Linked DNA regions of Arabidopsis thaliana. The protein of the gene in region 4 purifies or fractionates together with the protein of the main gene of each other region. This does not show direct contact. Each region holds a gene or a part of one and is shown on either strand. Other genes may lie near its edges. The genes, in order: AT5G61170, AT2G27720, emb2171 and AT1G74050.

What was found.
Region 1: the proteins of AT1G74050 (region 4) and AT5G61170 fractionate together in Arabidopsis thaliana (co-fractionation; one large-scale study listed by BioGRID). This does not show direct contact.
Region 2: the proteins of AT1G74050 (region 4) and AT2G27720 fractionate together in Arabidopsis thaliana (co-fractionation; one large-scale study listed by BioGRID). This does not show direct contact.
Region 3: the proteins of AT1G74050 (region 4) and emb2171 fractionate together in Arabidopsis thaliana (co-fractionation; one large-scale study listed by BioGRID). This does not show direct contact.

What each region holds. Positions count from the first base shown.
Region 1 is NC_003076.8:24,608,005-24,613,749, reverse strand, and holds AT5G61170 (Ribosomal protein S19e family protein), read right to left. Parts: upstream 2,719-5,745; 5' UTR 2,593-2,718; coding exon 2,509-2,592; intron 2,254-2,508; coding exon 2,163-2,253; intron 2,091-2,162; coding exon 1,907-2,090; intron 1,621-1,906; coding exon 1,548-1,620; 3' UTR 1,186-1,547; downstream 1-1,185. Other genes in the region: AT5G61180 (Putative endonuclease or glycosyl hydrolase), read right to left, coding at 1-345, 433-883; AACT1 (anthocyanin 5-aromatic acyltransferase 1), read right to left, coding at 3,611-4,969.
Region 2 is NC_003071.7:11,816,308-11,821,377, forward strand, and holds AT2G27720 (60S acidic ribosomal protein family), read left to right. Parts: upstream 1-2,388; coding exon 2,389-2,476; intron 2,477-2,564; exon of another isoform or gene 2,565-2,610; coding exon 2,611-2,655; exon of another isoform or gene 2,656-2,698; coding exon of another isoform or gene 2,699-2,714; coding exon 2,715-2,947; intron 2,948-3,036; coding exon 3,037-3,063; 3' UTR 3,064-3,271; downstream 3,272-5,070. Other genes in the region: AT2G27710 (60S acidic ribosomal protein family), read left to right, coding at 622-709, 999-1,231, 1,337-1,363; AT2G27730 (copper ion binding protein), read right to left, coding at 3,749-3,952, 4,058-4,096, 4,462-4,560. UniProt on the Arabidopsis thaliana protein: Plays an important role in the elongation step of protein synthesis.
Region 3 is NC_003074.8:1,164,320-1,170,170, reverse strand, and holds emb2171 (Ribosomal protein L14p/L23e family protein), read right to left. Parts: upstream 2,922-5,851; 5' UTR 2,833-2,921; coding exon 2,820-2,832; exon of another isoform or gene 2,766-2,819; intron 2,593-2,765; coding exon 2,308-2,592; intron 2,224-2,307; coding exon 2,182-2,223; intron 1,946-2,181; coding exon 1,863-1,945; 3' UTR 1,448-1,862; downstream 1-1,447. Other genes in the region: AT3G04410 (NAC (No Apical Meristem) domain transcriptional regulator superfamily protein), read right to left, coding at 966-1,094, 1,233-1,334; AT3G04390 (Aldehyde oxidase/xanthine dehydrogenase, molybdopterin binding protein), read left to right, coding at 4,406-4,510, 4,662-4,796; SUVR4 (SET-domain containing protein lysine methyltransferase family protein), read right to left, coding at 5,632-5,663, 5,804-5,851.
Region 4 is NC_003070.9:27,845,446-27,851,501, reverse strand, and holds AT1G74050 (Ribosomal protein L6 family protein), read left to right. Parts: upstream 1-2,493; 5' UTR 2,494-2,821; coding exon 2,822-3,078; intron 3,079-3,506; coding exon 3,507-3,613; intron 3,614-3,729; coding exon 3,730-3,911; intron 3,912-4,090; coding exon 4,091-4,246; 3' UTR 4,247-4,464; downstream 4,465-6,056. Other genes in the region: AT1G74060 (Ribosomal protein L6 family protein), read left to right, coding at 203-459, 756-862, 992-1,173, 1,314-1,469; AT1G74055 (uncharacterized protein), read right to left, coding at 1,789-2,223; TET17 (tetraspanin-17 protein), read right to left, coding at 4,662-4,961, 5,044-5,490; IMS1 (2-isopropylmalate synthase 1), read right to left, coding at 5,936-6,056.

The DNA.
Region 1 (5,745 bases), on a different chromosome or scaffold from region 4:
AGGCAGAATCATGATGATGACGTCTAGTAGTGAGATCAATAGGTATGTTAGGACAATCGCCATTAAAAATGCTTGTCCATAACCATACGGTCTTTGCAGCAGCGATGAGTGGCGTTGAAGCTTTCTCAGGTCGAGCCAAAAGAATGTTATACCTCTTCATACCTAGTTTGTGAAGAAGATAAGAGAAGTCTTTATCACCAGAGATGAGCATTATGTTAGCAGGAGCTTGGTTGTCCATTGCCCACAACATGATATCTACAAGGAGCTTCTTGTCACTCCCGTCTTTTACTCCTGTTAAATGCTCACCATCATCAAGAACATAGAGAATAATTAAGCCATTAGAGACTACAAAGCAAAGACTGGTCTCACTAACTCCAAAATATTCATACTTTAATTTATAGCTAATCAGGTGTTTCAAGAAGAGAGATTAACCGGCAGGGACGTGATTGAGAGATACGCCGGTGGAAGAGAGAGCTTGTTGTACAGAGGAAGGGATTTGATTTGTGTCACCATAGGCATAAATAGTGAGCGGACCACAGAAGTTACTTTTCGACAGAACTGATCTAATGCTCTGAGCAACCCCATGAGGGTCACAACCCTTTGGAACCTCGCAGTTCTCAATGTCCCACCAAACTGACGTTTTTGCACCAGCGAAATCCGCCTTCGCTGATTCATCTACGTCCGTTTTTGGTTGATGGGTGTCTTTGGCCGAGATGTGACTGAGTCCAAAGCGGTTAAAGACCAGAGGCTCATCAAGAGGAGCGACTTGATCGGTGTTGCCATGAGTAAAAATGGCATCAAAACTATTGAGAACCTCGCGGTTCTCTGTGTCCAGCAACGCCAATGATTTAGCAGTTGCGTACTCTGCTACTGTAGCCGCCATTTTTAAAAGAAATCAAGTGTTCTCAAACAGAGAAACTGAAATGGGAGGTCAGGGTTTAGAGATTGTGTATGAGGCGTGAGCTTTTGAACTGGAATTAAAAGGGGCAACGAGTTTTAGAAACTAACGGAGACACCCTAAATTAGTGGAGTATATGTTTTCTTGAATTTGAAATGTCCCTCAATTTTCGAAATTTAAAATGTGATCATATAAATTGTAGTATACGTAACGGTTTCGATTCTCAAGATTTTGATTTTGTTTTGAATATTACAAAATAATAAATGTAATTCGTTTTTTAATGGTTACCTCCGTTTACAAGAAATTTTAAAAACTTTGAAACGTTCACAATTAGTTATTGGTAATCTCTGTTTCTACACTTTGATTTTGAAGAAGAACGAGGAGCTTAAATGTAAAAACCTAAACAAGCCATTATCAAAATTTTGATAACTAATTTCATGAAATAGAAAGGAAAGGAGGTCAAAGATGAAATCAAATATATAAGCCATAAGTCGCTGAGAATAAAAAGAGAGGCAATTTGTAAACGAAAACTCATCAAAACAAAAATGAGAGGGAATTCTACTACTGGTTTTCATCAAATGCAACTCATTCCATTACTAAATCTCAAACATAAACCTTAAACTTGGAGTTGACCATCAGTCGCTATGATTTAGACAGCAGCTGCGATCCTTCCAGCGACTTGGTCGAGATCTCTCTGACCACTTGATGTGATCTTCCTTCCACTGGTTACATCAGAACATGTAATCATAAGCTAGCGAAGATGAACAATTGCTTCCATAGGTATATTAGTAAATGACGCAGTAGTACATTCTAAAACCATTTATACACACTTCATCTAGTGAGTTTTAATAGGTCACAATTACAGTTTCAGCAGATTTCTTAAGCGAAAATCGAATCCAAGTGTCTAACTTGTGTTATACAATTTTTATTTTCCTACAATTTCTTTGTACCAGTGTATTAACTTAATTTAGGCCAATGAGAAATCTAAACTAGAGACAATATACTTACCCCTTGGTGTCGAGGTCAACAATGTTCATGGTCTGGAGTTGCTGAAGAATGTGACGAGCAACACCACCACTGCTCTTGCAGAAATGAGGAGGACGGCTTCCGTTCCTCTTGCTTCCTCCATAGATCCTACGGAAGGCACCAACTCCAAGACCACCCCTCAGGTAAACCTTCCTAGCCATGGAAGCTAAATAGAACAGATAAAGACAATGCTAAATCCAATATGTAGAAGATTTGACCAGATGTTATATATACATACCAGCTCTGATGTAGTACCAGTCAGGGTCATATGGAGCAAGCTCCTTAAGTTTACCAGTCTTGACGATGTCTGTCCACAGAGGCAGCTCAATCTACATGGAAGGAACAACATTGGAATCAAAAGCAGAAACCTATCTTCACTGAAATGACACTAGCAAATCACTGTTTAGACTTTATTGAGATTTGTAGTTACGATTCAAAATGCTCTAGAGTAAGGCCAAATTCAAGTTTCAATCAGGCAGTGATCATTGCAGTTTCATGAGGTAATCGTAATCCCAAACATCAATCAAAATACTAGATTAGGGACAAACGATGCGGACCAAAAGCTAAGAATCACGATTCGTTACCTTGCCGGAACGCTTGAGATGGGCAGCGTAAGCCTTGACGAACTCGTGTGGAGAGACATCCTTCACTGTTTTACCTGTCGCCATTGTTGTCGCGCCTTTGATCCTTCTTCTCCTCCTTTGTGCTGCGGCGTCGGCGATACTTGAAGACGGGATTGAGGAATTATGATAAACGATTAGGGCTTTTGAGGAGTGTGTGTGAGCGGATTTTACATAACTACCCTTATTGTTTTAGCCTATGGGCCTATGACATATATTCGGCCCGCTAAACTCTGAACCCTTTGGAAAATATTGTGGTCCCACGTTTCTGAGAAAATTAAAACAAGGATTTTTTTTAAAAAAAAATTTTTTATAGATAAAAAAATAGAACAAAAAATAATATCACAATTTCGTAAATTATTGTTGTTTTTCCGAAAAAAAATTCTTTGTGGAAAATACACGAGTAGTCATATGTTATTCATCATTTTTCTATTTAAAAGTTTACTAAAAATCTGGTGAAAAATGATATACATCTTTTTTGTTACTAAAATTGTTTTTTGTTTATCTAAATGTAAAGATTAGTACCCACATTATTTAATTGTTTTGTCTATCTAAATTCATGTATTTTTAGGGGAATAATAAAACCAGTTACCAAAATTTAATATAGGGTTCAGGAAATTAATAGAAGAAGAATAATGAGATTGATTTACACAAAATATGGTAATTGAGTGGGGCAAAAATAGGATTTGAATTTCGAGTAAGGGGGTCAATTTAATATTTGAACCCAAATTATATACTAAATACCAAATAATTAAGCTATTAAATTTTTTTTTGTAAAAGTCATGGGGTCAAGTGACCCCCCTCCTGAAGCTGTACCTCCGCCACTGCGTATCACAGCTTTTTTTTTCTGAAATCAAAGTTTCGATTTTTCAAAGTAGGGGGAAATAGATTCACTGATCATGAAAAGTCTACTAATATTTCAAATATGGATGATTATTGTACCCCAAAAAATAGAATTCAAAAGACAGAATCAATACAAATTTGCGTAGTACATATAGGGCAATTATTGAACTAGAAATAAAAATACAAATAAGCAAAAGCTGGGATCGATTAAGACCGTACGTTTTCAGTTTCCAATCCATTTGTAAAATAAAGACAGAAAAGTATCCATCTCAAGTTTCTTCAAAGAGATGCCAATCTCGACGCCACCGATACCATCTCTCCTCTTGGACATAGAGAACTCATCGTTCTTGTAGATAGACATTGTCTCAGTGTGAATGGGTCTTCCCCACCCGAAGTCCGTTTCGTACATCCCAATCTGGTTCGACCCGTTTACGACCAACAACTGTGTACCCCATTTCATTGTCTTTGTTCCTTCCTCATACACTTTCCAAGTTGACTCTACCCCTTGTGAAGCCAAACGTTTGACCGAATCACTGAGAATCTCGACGGTGTTGACAAATCCATCTTCTCCCATAAACTCCTTAGCTTTGTATTTATAGAAATCCATGGCTAAGACACAAGTCCCGAAGTATGTCACAGGGACTGGTGGTTCTAACCGGTTCCTAAAATCAGCAGCGTACATGAAACGAACCGGTCGGTTTGGGTCACCACTACGTGCCTTCACCATGCATGTCCACACATGGGCGAACGTGACTACGAACGTTGACAAGTGAAGCTCAGCGCGTGTTGACTCTTTCTTGGCTCTCTCCTTGAGTTTCTCAATGTTTTCAGGACTTATCTCGATGGTGATTCGGAGGACGTTGTCTTTAGCGTTAATCTCTTTGACTGGAGGTAGCTTTAGGGTTCTTCCGTTCTCTTTGTCGTCCTCCGTAAGATACGGCAGAAGTTCGAGCATCTTTTGTTCAAGTCCGGCTGGAACATTGACGACAGAACGATCTAAAACCGTTGGTAGAATTTTCGGTATGGTGCCATGTTTACAAGTGTGAGCCCATGCTTTGTTAAATTTTTCAGCCGTTTTGCCGTCCAAGACGACATGGTGGGCTGTGGTTCCAATGCAGAAGCCTTGTTTCGGGAACAAAGTGACTTGCAGAGATACAACAGCCCCCGAGTCAGAATAAATCGGTAGCTCGGGTATTAGAGGGCGTAACTCTAGCTCTGGACGAAGCCCTCTGCCAGAGATACGTGAGAAATCCGCATCAGTCTCAGCCACTGTGAGAGAGAGTGTGTCTCCTGAGAGAACAACTAAATGCGGCTTTGGATCTTGTGAATCCCACTTAAGGTGACCCGTGAATAGGCGAAAGTGAGTGAGGATGAGTGAAAGAGATCGCTCGAGCTTGGGGAGGATGGAGGAGTAGAAAACGTCGCGAGATGATGATGATTCGGTGAGTTTGTAAAAGAAGACTTGCTCGGTAGGGTTGAGTTTAAGCCACTGTAAATCAAAGAACGAGAGTGGGACAATGAGCGGGTCGACGGAGGCGGTTGCAGGGCTGACTCGGGAGATCTTGATCACCTTTAACGCCATTTCTCACTTGTACTCTCGTCTTTTAGATAATATTCCTTTGTACGTATGAGTTTATTCAGCTGAGTATCAGATGGAGTTAACTCTTATACTAACATAACAAGCTACCGAGTCAGCCCTAGTCAAAAACGTTGGTTGGAAGCCAAGGCACGTAATTACCATTTGAATTATTTTGGTCCCTCCAGAGGCGGCCAGGCGGCTTAAGCCAACTGCGACTGCCAGATATCATAGATAAAAATTGTTATATATATATATATATATATATATATATAAAATATATAATTTTATTTTTGTGGTTTATATTTATTATTTTTGGTGGTAAAAACATTCTTAGAAGATAAATTTTTGTAGATAAAAGGCTGAAAAATAAATTTATGGAAAATATATAAATAAACATTTGTGAGCAAAATGTGTCTACATAAAATTGTAATTTTCTCGAGTTAAAAAAAAGCAAAAAGTGAAATTTCCAAAAGCCTTAAACTAGTTTGAGTAATTTAAAAGTGTCCATAGTTTTTTCTTTTTTCTTTTTATTCCATAATTTCTTGAGTTTTTCAGAAATTACTATAATTCTGTTTAAATTTTCAGGATTTCCTGAATATTCATGATGTTTAGTTGTCACTTAAGTTTTCATAGAACACAAGTCGGTTATGCTTTTACCTAATCTTTGTCTCTTGTTAATTTCTAAAGCAGATAAAATCTATAAACCAACAACAATGTTTTAGAAGAAGACATAACATTTATTTTGGCAACTCAAGTTATTTGATCAAAGAAGTTAATAA
Region 2 (5,070 bases), on a different chromosome or scaffold from region 4:
TCCAATGCCATTAATGTTTTTATATAATACATTTTAAAGATTTTTCTAACTTACTTAAAAGGATAAAAAATAAAAAAGATTACACATATAGACACAATCTAGCTACTGCAAAAAAGATTTTTTTAAAAAGCATAAATCTACTTTATTTACTAATTATAAATTTAATTTGTTTCACTTTTATTAGTGATAACAAGATTAATTGTTTTGTTTACACAAACAATATTGTTTTATGATTTCACTTATATGAACATTATTATCAAGAGTTATAAAGTTTGCAAAAGAAATAGGTTTTTATTGACTGAAGAATTGAGAAATTTTCTCATCACCTTTAAAATTAATATTGGGCCTAGCGATGAACCGGGCCAACGCCCATTAAACATATCCGATAATAGTTTAAACCCGGAGAGACTCAAAGTAGAGAAAACCCTAATTGTATATAAACTAAAAATACTTCCTTAATTCTTCACTTCTTCATCGCCGTCTGCACAAAACCCTAATCTCACAATCTCCTACGAGATCTATCAGTCTCCACGGTAAACGACACTAATCCATTTCAATTTCTCCATCGTCTTCTCCGATCAAATTCTCCATTTACTTATCTGTTCACTATTTTTCCAGAAGATGAAGGTTGTTGCCGCATACTTGCTCGCTGTTTTGAGCGGAAAAGCTTCACCAACCAGTGCCGATATCAAGACTATCCTTGGATCAGGTTCGTTTTGATGAATCGCAATCGATTTCATTACAATATGATTAGATTCGTTGTTTGAGTCGCTGGAGAATTCGATTTGAAATCTTTATTAGATAGTTGAGAACTTGCTTAAGCTGAAATGATATGTATATTAGGGATTTTTATGGTTCCTATCGACTTAAACGGTGTTTATGATAGTCGAGATGCGTAAGTATTGTTAAGAGTAATGATTTAGTGAACAATGGGATACAATAATGAGTTTGGGATGATTGATGGAATGTGGCATTGTTGTTTTTGTTTGGTGTTGCAGTTGGTGCTGAGACAGAGGATTCTCAGATTGAGCTTTTGTTGAAGGAAGTGAAAGGAAAAGATTTGGCTGAGTTGATTGCTGCTGGAAGGGAGAAGTTAGCTTCAGTGCCGTCTGGTGGCGGAGGTGGTGTTGCGGTTGCTTCTGCTACATCTGGAGGTGGAGGAGGTGGTGGTGCTTCTGCTGCTGAGTCCAAGAAAGAAGAGAAGAAGGAAGAAAAGGAAGAATCCGATGATGTAAGTTTACTTTCCTTCTAACAAAAGTCTTGATCTTAATAGTAGCTTGAAATTTAACCTAAAAATGATGGCTCACTTGTGTGTGTTTTTGTTTTTAATTTGCAGGACATGGGTTTCAGTCTATTCGAGTAAGCTGGTAGTAGCATGAAAAGTCCGGTTTTGTTGTCCTCTTTTAATATTGTAACCTTTTGAAATCTATATGTTGTTGTTGTTTAGTTTGTATTCGATCATCTTTTTTAGACATTGCTGAAATTCTCAAGAGTTTTTGACCCGAATGTCATTTGCACTTTGTTGTTAGCATTTCTGCTTCTATCTCAATCGCCTTTGTCACTCTGGAGTTTTTAGTAGCCAACAAAAGCATTGGTCCTAGTCATGGTCTTAAATCTTGACTCGAATGGTGATGAGATACCTCTAGCCTTGACTTTGCTAATGATACGTTGTCGTTCATTTGGAACCTAGATTCAGATTCGGCTTACGTATGACTTCAAGAATAGTATTATTGTAAGAAAAGGATAAAAAAAAAATTCTAGTCTTGAATTGTTCCCCCTTCAATGCCGTCCAATATGTAAATACATCATAATTCGTATGAGAAAATAACTAGACTATGCTAAAACTTTGACACCACAAATTTATTAGTAACTTGCAAAACATATCACTTGTCAACTACATATACCGAGAAATGCCATACGCAGGCGATGTTTCGGAAACAACAGGTGTAGAGTTGAAGCTACTTTTGATGTCATCGACCAAGAAGGTGCTATAGAAGACGAGGTTAGAGGTGAAATCCCATCCATCAAACAAAATAAAACTAGAGAATTGTATAATCTGGTCGTTCTCTTCTCAACATCAATATTACCCGTCAATCGAAATATTGAGCCCATATAAATATGGGCTTGAAAGAACTGGGCCTAAATAAAATTTTAAATTCGGAGATACATTGATAAGATTAAAAACCCTAAGCGTATATAAATCATATAGTTTTCATTTTTTCGTACTTCTTCTCCATCGCCGTCTAAAAACCCTAATCTCACTCCGCCTCCTGCGAGATCCATCAACACTTCCGCAGTAAGCGCCTCCATTTCCATTTCTCTCTCCTTCTTCTCCTACGTAATCGTACTATGTTTGATTTTTGATCTGTTTTTGTTTTTCTTCAGAAAATGAAGGTTGTTGCTGCGTTTTTGCTTGCCGTCTTGAGCGGGAAAGCTTCCCCAACCACTGGCGATATCAAGGATATTCTTGGATCAGGTTCGTGACTTTGATTTGAGCATTGGAATGTATACATGATTATTCTAGTAGTGAGAATTTGTTTAACTTGAAATGTTATTGGAACTAGGAATTGTATATGTTTGCTGGAAATGAACAGTGTGATGCAATAAGAGGCATTATGGTGTTGGTATTGGACTGTGTTGTTATAGGTGATTGCTGTAATTGTGGTGGAGGAAGAATTGATGGAGTGTGGCAATTGTTATGTTTGATTTTGCAGTTGGTGCTGAGACAGAGGATTCTCAGATTGAGCTTTTGTTGAAGGAAGTGAAAGGGAAAGACTTGGCTGAGCTAATTGCTGCTGGAAGGGAGAAGTTAGCTTCAGTACCATCAGGAGGTGGTGGTGGTGTTGCGGTTGCTTCTGCTACATCTGGAGGTGGAGGAGGTGGTGGTGCTCCTGCTGCTGAGTCCAAGAAAGAAGAGAAGAAAGAAGAGAAAGAAGAATCCGATGATGTAAGTTTTACTTTCTTTCTGACAACAGTTTTTTATCTCTTCAAATGAAATGATGGCTCACATGTTGTGTGTTTTGTGTCAATTTGCAGGACATGGGTTTCAGTTTGTTCGAGTAATGCGGTATACTTGGCATTTGGTTTTGCTGTACCCTTTCGAAATCTTTATGTCGTTGTTTAGTTTGTTGTATTCGACTATCTTCTTAGACTTTGCTGAAATTCTCAAGAGATTTTTTTACTCAAACATCAGTCCACTTGTGATTGGCATTTATATTTCAAACTATTGCCTTAGTTACATCTTCAATAGTCCACTTATGAACGATCTTTAGTAAATTCTCTTATTCACTCGCTTACTAAGAATTAAACCTAAAGAGAATACAGAAGAATTCCCTAGAGTAAGGATTTGGTGTAGTGTAAAACAGACTCTTCCCTCTTTGTATTGTTCAGATTCTGGAAACATAAGATATGTGAATCCAATCAACACAGTACTCGAGATATGTTCTGATAAAAAAAATGTTGGTACTAACAATTTCAGTTTGGATGGGAAGGATTATCCGAATAAAGATATACCTAATTCTGATCAAAAGAGAGCGAAAATAAGTCTCTGGAGTTTAGATTGAGAAACTAAATGTCAACAAACCGGAAACAAAAAAAAACTGTGTCAAGTAACAAAAACAAAAGAAAAGACTCAAAGAGAGTAGCAGCAACGTAAGATTTGATTCCAAAGTGTCTCACAAGGGAGGAATGAGTAATGCTACTCCCTGTTTTATTCACTCATCACAAGTCCATCAATCAATCTATCTCTTTACTCTTGGACCTCTGGCTGCTTCTTTCCACCTGCTTTCAAGTACCAACCAATCGAACCGACAATAGCAACCACACCTGCCACAACCGCATAGTTTCTGTTCTTGTCTTCTGACACCTTTGGGCCCGACTCAGCTGATGCAGATGCTGTTGCACCAGCAACCTTTGCTTCGCTTGCTGACCCTGCTGCTTGTTCTCCAGGACCCTAGTAAGTTCATAAGAAGTTTCAGCCACACAAGACTGTAAATTTTCTCTTTATCTAAACAAGCTATTCGTAGTTTCAACAACTGGAGTTAAAGGAATTATTTACCTGTCGAGCTAACTTCTGAAGCTTCTCCTGCTCCATTTTCTGCAATGTAGAAAACCATAAACAAGGTAAAATATAAGGACAGAAGATGACTTACTCAAAAATATAAATTGTTTTGAAAAGAGTAAGTATTATGTAACAGGTTTCTAGTTCAAGCTAGATGCTACAAGGTTTAGATAACAAATAGATTTAACTTCTACGATTAAGACACAAGATAAGTTTCTTATAAGTAAAACCAAATATTATCTAATAGTTTACAACAGAGACAGATAGAATCAAACAAGAGCTTGATAATAAGTGTTCATCATCAACATCACAAAAGGAAAGTAAATATACTTATAGTTTTTTCGAGGATTCTTAGTCTACTATTATTGTTCACATCAATAAGGAAAGCTTCTGATCTTTACCTTAATGAAAACATTCTCAGCGGCTCTCTCCTCTTCGCTAAGAACTTTGCCACTAGAGAACCTACGAGACACAATTCTCAAAGCATTTCTTGTTGCCATGGTAATGAAGAAGTATCCTGTGCATAAAACATTAAACTCATTTTAACTAAAGCAGACAGTGAATGAGAGAGATTCTAGGAACTAACAAAATCGTTCACTTTGAAAACCCTGAAATTGTTTGAAAACTCCATAAAAACTATTACAGAAAACCTATAAGGAGTAACATTGGACTCTTACAATCCTTTTCGTCATCATCAATCATAACATGGTAAATTTGTTTTTGCTAAATAAACATGGTGAATTAAGATACTAATGTATCAAGTGTCAACTATTACTGTATCCCACGTATCAGCGACAATGGTGAATTACTTTAACAGAAACATAATCTACAGCACAATAGCGATGCTAGAGGTAATCTCAAGATTCCACACAGACAGTTACAGAAAATCTATAATGAGGAAACACTTATTGGTACTTGTCTCTCAAAATCCTTTTTGTCATCATCATTTCATACAATGGGGAAGTCACCAAAAAATCTATTACTGTATCCCAAGTATCAGCTACTACATT
Region 3 (5,851 bases), on a different chromosome or scaffold from region 4:
TAATATTCTCTTAGTCTAATGGGGTTTGGACTTAAAACATAAAAGTGACATGCTGCACGTAAGATGTAGACTAAAAGTCTAAAATAGAAGCATCTTCATTTGATATTATCCTTGCTTTCTCTTGTTGAGAACCTGAAATCTTTTGGGGGTATTAGGTAGGACTTAAAAAGACTCGATGTTGATTGCTATGTCAATGAAAACTTGACCATTTTATTAGTTGTATAGTGTATGAAATGAAATTATCCAACTTTGTCTTCTCGAACCACTTCTCATTATATCACAAATTCACCGGTTTTATATATTGGGGCACACATACAATAGGGAAAATTTACAAAAAAAGATAGACATGACATTCATACAACTTGTTCTTCTATAACCACTCACTATATCACAAGAGTACTCACTACTCACAGTCACAAGGTTACAAAACAAGAGAGACATAACTTTTCTACAAATTTGGAAAAGTACTAAACGGTGTTCTTGGTCTCATCTATTGTTATCATGTTCTTGAGATAGAAGAAGATTGGTGAATTTTCTTGACTAATCTTTGTATCATCGTGTAAACGAAACTTGCTCTTTTCTTCTTGATCTTCTCTTGACCCAATTTATGCTCTCAAATCTCAGTCCCTTGACCCAGAGCTTGGCTCACCTGGAATATTTTGAAAGAATCAACAATTTGAATTTCTTTAATCTGGTTCCAATGTTGTGAGTGGTGAAAACAAAGTAACATGATTAGCATTAAAAGTAAAAGTAAATAATAAATCTCACCTCTTGAGTTAATGACACTAACTAGATTGTTGAGTCAGGAGATTGTTGAGTTTTGATTAGGCCTATCTGACGATTTGAGCCAGCAAGACTGTCCCAAGTGCTTGGAGTTTCAATAGAATTCTGTGATATCAACCGAAATTATAGCTTTGTGAGGTGAAATCTGAAACAGAGGATTATAAAGGTGAACATAGTAGAATTTAGCTTACTGTTTTTGGAGATAGTAAATCAGAATCATTATCATCACTGCTACAATCACTGAAGACACCAGTTAATGAGTTTGGAGGTCTGTAATCATTGCGATTATCTTGCATAAACATGATATTCCTCTGTTTATCATCATCATTCAACCATGTTTCCCATTCCTCTCTTGGTATAGCATCCTCTCGATTTGAGCATCTTGACGCACATCAAGAAACCCACTAAACCAACTTGGTATAGCATTCTCGACTATGCTAATGACTTACATCGACATGGCTCGTGTCACCATCGAAATTTGTTGGCCGGAGGTAATGGTCGACGATCTCCTCTTTGGTCGGACGGAATCTGAAACCCACCGGATTCACCATTTTTCGAGAGTGAATAAAGTTTCAGTTTTAAAAAAAATGGAGAGAAAAAGAGGGATCAGAAGTATTTCGCCATTGTTGCTATTATGCAAGTTCTTTTGGTAGGAGGGAGAAGACGGATATATACACAATTTTCCTATTATTCATGAAATATTGAAAAACAGATTCCCAAATCCACAATTGACTTGCTAATATAAGAGTTATATACAAATTTTTAGGCTCTACTTAAGTCTGTTCACACAATTGATTCGCCCTAAACATATTTCTAATTGCGTAACAAAATAGTGTGAATCACTTGAATTCTATGTTTTTTAAAACAAAACCGAACAAACACAAGAACCAGTGAATCAAATCACAAGTTTACGATAGACTAAAACACTGAGGTGACAAACTGGCACGAGAAACGAAGGTTCTTATAAGAACTAGAATCAGCTTTAAGGCATAACAAAAGTCTAAGACAAAAACAAAAAACAATCCCAAATAGAGATAATGCTAAACGTTCAACACAAAACATAGAGATCTCAAGCTTGCTTAAACGATGGCGTTCGCAGCACTTGCGATTCTTGGCCACAGATCAGCACACTCCTTTCCGATTGGTCCAGTGATAGCAGATCCTAATTACATCACACAACAGACTCATCAGCTACAAGTAAATATGATACTACTGATTTATCACTACGAGATTGGCTTTGAGTTGCCCCATATCAAACTTCTAGATAAATTCAGATACACAATACTTCCTCTAGTAACTACTAACTCATCAGGAGGTTATCAAAACTTGCATACATAAACAACTCATACATCTACCAGAGAATTCAATAACAAATAAGCAAAAACATCAACTTCTTACCTTTCATTTCACCCTTGGGATTGACAATGACACCAGCATTATCTGCAAAACCAAAACTTTCTATCAGACAATCACACTTCAGAGAAATTGAAATGCAAATCACAGAGAAGAAAAGCAAAGGATTACCTTCGAAATACATGAAGACACCGTCCTTTCGGCGCCAAGGCTTCCTCTGCCTAACAATGACAGCAGGAAGCACCTTCTTACGGAGATCAGGCTTACCTTTCTTAACAGTAGCCATAACCATATCACCAACACACGCTGATGGCAAACGGTTAAGACGACCCTTGATTCCTTTAACCGAAATGATGTAAAGGTTCTTAGCTCCGGTGTTGTCAGCACAGTTCACAGTGGCTGCCACTGGAAGACCCAGTGACATCCTGAACTTGTTACCAGAGGTTCCTCCTCTTCCTATTCACAAAAAACAAACACAAAAGTTACAGATCTAAACACTATCAACCAAAGTAGAGACATATAAGACTAATATTCATGATCCAGAAGCTTTACTAATAGAAATTAGGGTAAAACCATTGTCATTGAAAGTGAAATGAAGAAAATAAGCGAAAACAGGATATGATTCATACGAGATGTACACAGATTAGGTTAAGCGAATTAGAGATGAAGAAACGTTTTTTTACCTCGCTTCGACATGGTTGCAGAGTAGCAGCTCTCTCCTTGAAAGAGTTTCAATGGCAGCGCCGAGAGGGTTTATATACGCTTGAACTAGGGTTTTCTTCATGTATTGTGAGCTGACCTGGACTTTATTTTATGGGCCGAAATAATTTAACAATAAGCCCAATAATGTTCTCTTTCTTTTCTCATCATCTTTTTTTTGGAAATCATCTTAGGCCCAATATATCATAAAGGATTTTGAATTTTTTTATTTTTTTTATCAAAAAGGATTTTGAATGTAAAATTTGATCGGCTAGCAACATACAGAGATGGACATTTTTGTCTCCACCAAAATCACAACTGTAATCATCTTCTCAAAACCAAAAATAAAAAAGTAAAGTGTTGCATGTATCTATCTTTATCTGTTGATAAATTAGGATTGCTATTTTCAGTTGCAAGTTAAAACAATCGTAGAAGCTTTTTACATGGTTTTGATGAAATGACAATTGATTTCGGTTCGGGTTTGAAATTACATGTGATTTCTGTTTGGTTTAGATGGTTTTGAAATAAAAATTAATTTTGGTTCGGTTTGCATTAGAATTAATACGGTTTTGAGAAAAAAAACAAAAGAAAAAAGTCACTCGAGGCTGTTTTGGAAACAAAGCGAGTAGATGTAAAATAGGCATGATTTTGTGGGTTTACCCCTACAGAAATCGACGACACGCGTTCAACGCGAGGTTGGTGCGAGTGGGCATGGAATGGAGCGCGTGGCGCGAGGTTGGTGCGAGTGGGCGAAGTCCGGAGCGCTCTGATTGGCTGAAAAAATAGAAATAATGTTGATGTAGCTCCTCCTCTCCTCCTCTATTATTAATTTTTCGTCATTCTTCAGTTCTGAAAGTTGTCTGGTTTTAAGATGCAATGAAATCTTATTCTATAACCTTTTAAAAAAACGAATATATCTAATTATATAACCTTAAAAAAAAAAAGAATATATCTAATTATATAACCTTGTTCTAATTATTAAGTCCTCCTTCAATCTATTAGATTATTCGTTTTTTTTTAGATTATGAAATAAATTATTTTATTCTTATTATTACTTTTTCAAAATTTTATGTTTGTTGAAACAACAGTAGTTTACATAGCAATACAGATACAAGGGTATTTTCGTCATTTTCCAAAACGACATAGTTTTCAGGAGCTGAGGGAGGATGAGGATGATAAATTGATAATAATAAGAATGAAACATAAAATTTGTATGTTTTTGGTTATTTTGAAATCATTGATTAATGTCACACAAAAAAAAAATAGAATGGATTTTGAGATAATAAAATTTTCATTTTCATTTTGTTCTGCAGACATTGAAAACTAGATTCAGCTGAGCCCTTAAGAAATCAAAGTGAGTTGAATATTTTTCTAAAAATGTGAAAATTGGTAAAAGTTTGTCCTCATTTTGCTAGAAAAAGGATTCACTTTAAAGTTAAAAGAATAATATAAAGCTTGTTTGGAAATCTCAGCATTGCACTACCGTTGCTTGCAAATCTAGAATCTGGATTTTAAGATACTTCCGGTGCTCTTGTTCATGTTTGCACCAATGGGACTGTTTTGGTGACACATGGAGGTGTTGAAATGGGTTAAGGATATGCATACAAAGGTTGCTGCAGCGGCCTTTAACATTCCCCTTAGTTCGGTTTTTGTGTCAGAAACAAGCACATACAAGGTACCTCTAACTCGGTTACATGTACTCTGTGGACTTTGGCCAAGACAAAACTGTTATTGTTCTCTCTTATCATTTTTGTCGTCTCTTAATAGGTTCCAAATGCCTCACAAACTTTTATTGCTCTCTTGTCGTTTTGATTGCCTCTTAATAGGTTCCTAATGCGTCACCTACTGCTGCTTCTGCGAGCTCTGATATGTATGGTCCTGCAGTTTTAGACGATGTTAAGCATATTATAGCAAAATTGGAGCCTGTTACATCTAAACACAATTTCAACACCATTCGCTGAGGGTAGCTTTCGAAGAGCTCAAGTGGGGAGATGCAGCTCATACATGGATTAAACCATGAGCTTTACTCACTTGCGGACCTGGAAACTAAAAAATACCTTAAGAAGATGCTTTACTCACAACATTCCCTTTCTCTTCTCAAGGTATGCAACCATAAGAAGAAGCACTTCTGAATTGGTAGAAACAAATTTGGAACTGATGAACCTAGGATTATACTTTGTTTAATCCGAATAGAAATGTTGGTCAAAGTCATATATGTAAGTAACTTCCAGTCTCCAGTACATGTAACATTACAAAGATATAGGTTTCTTCAAATCAGTAACTTCTTGGAGAAAAAAAAACAAAGAATGTAAAATTTGATAGTTCCAAAAAAACTAGCAACAATGTATAAATAAAAATATAAAATATGTAAATAATTCTTCTATGATGACCAAAATAAACCAATAAATTACAACTTCTAAGTCTAAATATTAAAATTTTGTTTAACATTACAAATCATTGATGCGATGGATCACTCTTGGCTGAATTTACCAGTGATGGGCTCCTTTTCGATCCAGTCTTTACGCTCTAGAACTCTATTAAAAAAGGTTTATTTATTTTGACATATGCCATGAAATTTGAAGAACAGAACTAAACAGTGAGTTTCTTTGGTTAGGCAACATAACACTTTTTTTTACCTAAAGAAGAGATTGTAAATGAGAAAAAACTGCAGACCATAAAAGTTGTATATGTCATCAAGAAGGAAAAGCTAGTTGAATCATGCAGAGCTCGCGATGGATCATAGTGTTTTGTGAGCTCATGCTTTCTTTAATGTTTAACTCTAAATAATGACCAGTCTCATTTGCGCTTTTTAGACACCTCTTTGGAACCTGCATTTTAAGAATTGGCGGTTGTTACCTCAACGACTGAATCATACACTTTAGAGAAATTCTAAAGGATCTCAAGCTTTAGGCAGGGATAATTGATGCTAAGCCTCTAAGGTTATATCATCTTAGACATTCTTTCTCACCTTGTTGTTTTTTAGCAGAAACAATCTTTCTTCTCTCTATAGACTTGC
Region 4 (6,056 bases):
ATTTCTATTTGCCCAAAACAAAACTGTCTCGGTCCATAATAAAGCCCGAATTTACTCTAAAGCCCACGAGCCCACGCATCCCCTAGGGTTTCTGTGTCTTCAAATGTGACCTATCCTCTTCTGCTACACTACCCAATTTATTCTCGGCCGGAAAGTCTCTTCTTGATTATCGTCCAGGGATTGCAACAGAGAGAAAGTAACGATGCCGGCGAAACAGAGGACAGCTAAGGTCAACAGGAATCCTGATCTGATCAGGGGAGTTGGTAAATACTCAAGGTCTCAGATGTACCATAAGAGAGGTTTGTGGGCAATCAAGGCCAAAAATGGAGGCGTTTTCCCCCGCCACGACGCTAAATCTAAGGTTGATGCTCCGGTGGAGAAGCCACCGAAGTTCTATCCAGCTGAAGACGTGAAGAAACCTCTCCCCAACAGGCGCACGGCAAAACCAGCCAAGCTCAGGTACTTAGCTGATACACTGTCTCATTGTCTTGGAGTCTGAAATCTAGCTCAATGCAATAGTTGTTTTCTTTGGTTCTTAAGGAGTGCTTTGTATGCATTTAAATCTTTGAATCTCCCGAAATTTTTTGACTAGCTTAGTGTTTTGAAATCGTTAATTAGTCATTGTGGTCTGTTCTATTTGGTTTGTGAATTTATCTTGATTTCTGTGGAAAGTTTGCCTCTTTTGCTTGTATTTTGTGTTACATTGTTCGGAATTTGTTATGTTGTAATCCGATATTCATATTTCTCTATTGCAGAGCTAGCATCACTCCAGGGACAGTGCTTATCATCCTTGCTGGTAGATTTAAGGGCAAGAGAGTTGTCTTCCTTAAGCAGCTTGCCTCCGGTTTGCTTCTTGTGACTGGTGAGTTTTATGCTAATCTACTTTCTTTATTTGCCACATTCTTTATTCGAAATGCAGAACGCCCATTCACTAAACTTGCTTTCTGTATTCTGTATAAAGTTGACATTCCTGTTTTGTTATTGACCTTAGGACCATTCAAGATCAATGGTGTTCCTCTGAGACGTGTTAACCAGGCCTATGTCATTGGTACTTCCACAAAGGTTGACATTTCTGGAGTTACCCTCGACAAATTCGATGATAAGTACTTCGGCAAGGTTGCTGAGAAGAAAAAGAAGAAGACTGAAGGAGAGTTCTTCGAGGCTGAGAAAGAGGTATCCCAAACATTCTTCTTGTCTTTCTCTAAGAGTCATTTGGTTCTCATTTTGTAATAGACGATTAAAGTTCTCTCCTTTATACACTACCCAAATTAAAAGCTATGCGTGACCTCCATATACTTTTTTTCCTTCCGCAGGAGAAGAAAGAGATTCCACAGGGAAAGAAAGATGACCAGAAAGCCGTGGACGCAGCTTTGATCAAAGCTATTGAAGCAGTTCCAGAGTTGAAGACTTACCTCGGAGCAAGGTTTTCATTGAAACAAGGAATGAAGCCCCATGAGCTTGTTTTCTAGATTTCATTACTTTTTTTCTGAGGTTTCTAGTGTATCTGTCTCCTGAAGTTTTACACTCCAACTGGTTGGTTCTGTTCTCGTCCACTGACCAGAGACATAAAATCTTGGCTGCTGCTATCTGGATTTCTGTCTTATATGGATAATTTATCAATCCTGTTTTTGAAGGAGAACTTTTCACAAGATTCTAGTAATGCTTAAGTCATGACGAAGTGATGAAATTGAGAATTGAAAATAACATTGCAATAATGATATAGTTTAGCTTACAATCTACTTCGAATATTGAAACTCTTATTACTAGTCTCTGTCACATGCACCGAGATCAAGCTGGAGGTGCTTCTAGACGAATTTGATCATTATCTTTAGGTGTTTCTTTGCTAGCACAATCAGCAACTTTAGCTCCGGCCTCAACATCTCCGGCCAAACACCGTCTCCATTTTCGTCTCAGCCAACCTAAAAGCCCACCACTCTTTATCATCTCCAACGGATTGACTTCAGCCACTAGACCAGTTCTCTGGCGGCTCCGTGCGCAGAATCGACCCAAGAAGCAGGAGAGAACAGCAAGAATGATGAGAACAGATATGACAGCGAAGAAGGGTCCAATGGAGCTGGAAGAGTAATGGTTTGGAGCGTTTGGTGCTGCGATTAGATTGGCATTGGTAGCCATAGGTGTGATCTCATTGCCTCCTAATTGTTGTTGAGGTTGTTGTTGGATAGGAAACAATGACGAGCTGCTACTACTACTAGCCATAGCCATTGAATCTAATGAAATTTTGGTTTTCGGTGATCAAGATTCAATATTTGTTGATTGAGTAACGGGGTCATTAGTATATATATACATAGGCATGTGCACATTGATCTTTTGAAGAGCTTTTAAGCCGACCAATGTTTGTTGAAGAAGGACATGTAAAGGTGAATAAAGCGGAGAAATCCTCATCAGCTTCATCAAAAGCGTCTCAAACTAATTATAAATGATATATGTGATCCATTGCACTCTTACAGGTGAAGGAATCGTCTTGCTCTGATTTTGGCGTTGGTCAAATTGTGTGGGGATTATTAGCCTGAGTTTTTAGATAAACTACTCTCTAACTCTGATTTTTTTATCATCCTGTCAAAATAGTTTTAGGTGAAAAGATTTAATACTACAAAGTTGTAAGAAAAAACAAATCCTATTATGCATGTTACGGTCCACATTAAAAGGCCGATATAATTGTAAAGCCCATGAGCCCAAGAAAGCCCTAAAATTTAATTAGGGTTTCAGTGTCTTCAAATTCACCTATCCTCAGCCTCAACTCTCTCCTCTATCCACTCTCAGCCGGAAAATTTTTCCTTGATTCATTACGACAGAGAGAACCATGCCGGCGAAACAGAGGACCCCGAAGGTCAACAGAAACCCTGATCTGATCAGGGGTGTTGGTAAATACTCGAGATCCCAGATGTACCATAAGAGAGGTTTGTGGGCTATCAAGGCCAAAAATGGAGGCGTTTTCCCACGTCACGACGCTAAATCTAAGGTTGATGCTCCGGTGGAGAAGCCACCGAAGTTCTATCCAGCTGAAGATGTTAAGAAACCTCTCCCCAACAGGCGCACGGCAAAACCAACCAAGCTCAGGTACTTAGTCTGACACTGGTATCGATGCAATTATCTTCCATGTGTTTGGTTGATTTCTTTGGCTCGTTTGCTAAGTGGGTTTGTATAAGATTTGAATATCTGCTGGAAAAGTGTCCAAATTTTGCATTGTGTAAATCATTTGTCTCTAGGATATTTGAAGAATAGTTGAAATGCATTGGTTTGTGAAGATTGTTAGTGGAGTTAAACTTGAATTTCAAAAGGTTCATAATTTCTGTGAATACATCTAGTTTTCTTATACATTACTGTTATTAGTATGATTAAGCTTGTCTCAGGTTGATAGTAAAAAGAAAAAAAGCGAATTTGATTTTCATTTGTATACCAAATTTAATGTCTATGCTCTGTAACGTCTTCAATAGATCTTATATATGTTTCCAACATGATCCGATCTTCTTATATCTGTATTGCAGAGCTAGCATTACTCCAGGTACAGTGTTGATTATCCTTGCTGGTAGGTTCAAGGGAAAGAGAGTTGTCTTCCTTAAGCAGCTTGCCTCTGGTTTGCTTCTTGTGACTGGTGAGTTATTCTCTATCTGTTCTCATGAACTTGTCTCCTATAAATCATTTGAAGCGAAGCTCATTCACTGATTTTTACCATCTGAATTGTTCATCCTTTTTTTAACAATTCTTTAGGACCATTCAAGATCAATGGTGTTCCTTTGAGACGTGTTAACCAGGCCTATGTGATTGGCACTTCCACAAAGGTTGACATTTCTGGAGTCACCCTCGATAAATTCGATGATAAGTACTTTGGCAAGGTTGCTGAGAAGAAAAAGAAGAAGACAGAAGGAGAGTTCTTTGAGGCTGAGAAAGAGGTATAACCTTATATCGCAAAACATGGAAAGGACGCAATTCATCTTGTGTTTCTCTCCTTTAAATTTGGTTATCACAGTTTGTTCCGGAAGAATAGACATTGAAAATATCTTTATATCACTTGTTATTTTCCAAACCAAAACATATGCTTGACATAACATCTCTCTTTTATATTTCACAGGAGAAGAAGGAGATCCCACAGGTGAAGAAAGATGACCAGAAAGCTGTGGATGCAGCTTTGATCAAAGCCATTGAAGCAGTTCCAGAGTTGAAGACTTACCTTGGCGCAAGGTTTTCATTGAAACAAGGAATGAAGCCCCATGAGCTTGTTTTCTAGATTTCATTACTTTTTTTCTGAGGTCTCTAGAGTATCTGTCTCCTGAAGTGTTTTACCTTCTAAATGGTTGTTTTGTTCTTGTTCACTGAACACATACAATTTTTGGCTTATACATTCTCTGTTCTTACGTATGGACAAACTATCGATCCTGTTTTTGATTGTGAGCTTTGTAGCGTGGTTCGTGATAGAAATGGGATAATTATTGTCAAAAAAAAAGGGGATCGTTATGCTATATAACTCGGTATGAAATTGAACATAAATATAGAATAAACATCAAAATGGTATGTATGTGCAAGCTACATGAACATTGGCGTTATCTCATTCAAAAATCATTCACCGTTTTCTATAGGCATTTCTACAAATCTGACACTTTTTGATGTAATTTGAAGTAAGTATTCTAGGATTAAATCATAGATCAACTATAAGAACCTCGATAATCTTCGTTTTCGTGGATAGTCTCCTTGAGAGACCAAGCTATAGCAAGACTGATGCAGGAAAGGACTAGAGCAGGGTAAGCAAACATCGAGAGATATTTCCATTGATGAACAATGGCTTTTAAGATGCTTAGTTGGCAGCCTCTGCAATCTAAACAATACTCATAAGAACACTCTTCTGGAACTTGGTTCCGTTCATACTGATGTTTCCAACTCCACTCGCCTGGCTTGTCGAACATCGTTATGGTCCCACATCCCACCGGTTGTGCACAGCAATACTTCTGCACATATATCCTAAATATAAGCATGCACATTTTCATATAGACATGTCTCTTATTAATAGTAAAAAGATTCAAAACTTACCCAAACATTGCTGTTTTTGCTGGCATTGTAATTACAGTCATGTTTGTGAATGATACAATAGGTTACTTTCTCGAACTTCTCCTTAGAGACCAACCTACCAAGTAACTGTGGCACGGTACGGTTGTCCTTGGCGGGATTCTTAGCTATGCCAAAAGTGGTGTTGTAAATGGAACATTTGATTGAATAATAAGATACAATGATAATGAGCACAACCATGCCGTAGAAGAAGAAATTGAAAAGGCGTTTGGAGCGGCAACAGATTCCGTATAGACCGATCTGAGGAATCAGCAGAAGAAGCAGACCGAGTAACGTGAACTGGCTTGAGGTTTCTCGGATGCAAGAAGACATTGTTGTTTTTTGGTATAGACCTGTTCCCATCATTGTGAGGCCTATACTTATCAAGATTATTGTTGTCATGGTTAGGAATCCAGTTCGCACTTCTGACATTTTTGAATCTTGGGGAACGTAAAACCTTTTGTATTCAAGCGAATTGTTGTTTGAAAATTTGGAGTTTCTTTAAAAGAGATTGAATCAAGGAGATGAACGAGTTCTTAAAACTTTTCTGGCCAAGTTTCTGTTGTCTTTTGGTTTGTTTGTCATGGAAGGTAACAATTACGAAATAAATCTTATCTTAGTTTAGTTTAGTTTTGGTAGTTAAAAGATTGCTCAACGGTCGTTCCTGTTAGGGCAAATGCCTTCACTATTTATAGAAAATTTGTTCTTGTTTCAATGTTTTAACCAAATACTCTGTTTTATATCATAGTTATTTTAGTAAACCAAAACTCATATTCTTTTTATACAAACAATAACGGTAACAAAAAATAAAAATCTTTTAGACGTTTACTCATCTAAATTGTGATTTGATCTCTGAGATTTGCAGGTAAGATTTTCTTCAGGCAGGGACTTCGTTGGTCTCCAAAGGGGTTTTACTTAAAGTGGAGGTGTGTTCTTTGAAACCCAACATTTTGTTCAAAGCTCCAACATAAGCTTTAACGCTCGACACAACAATGTCC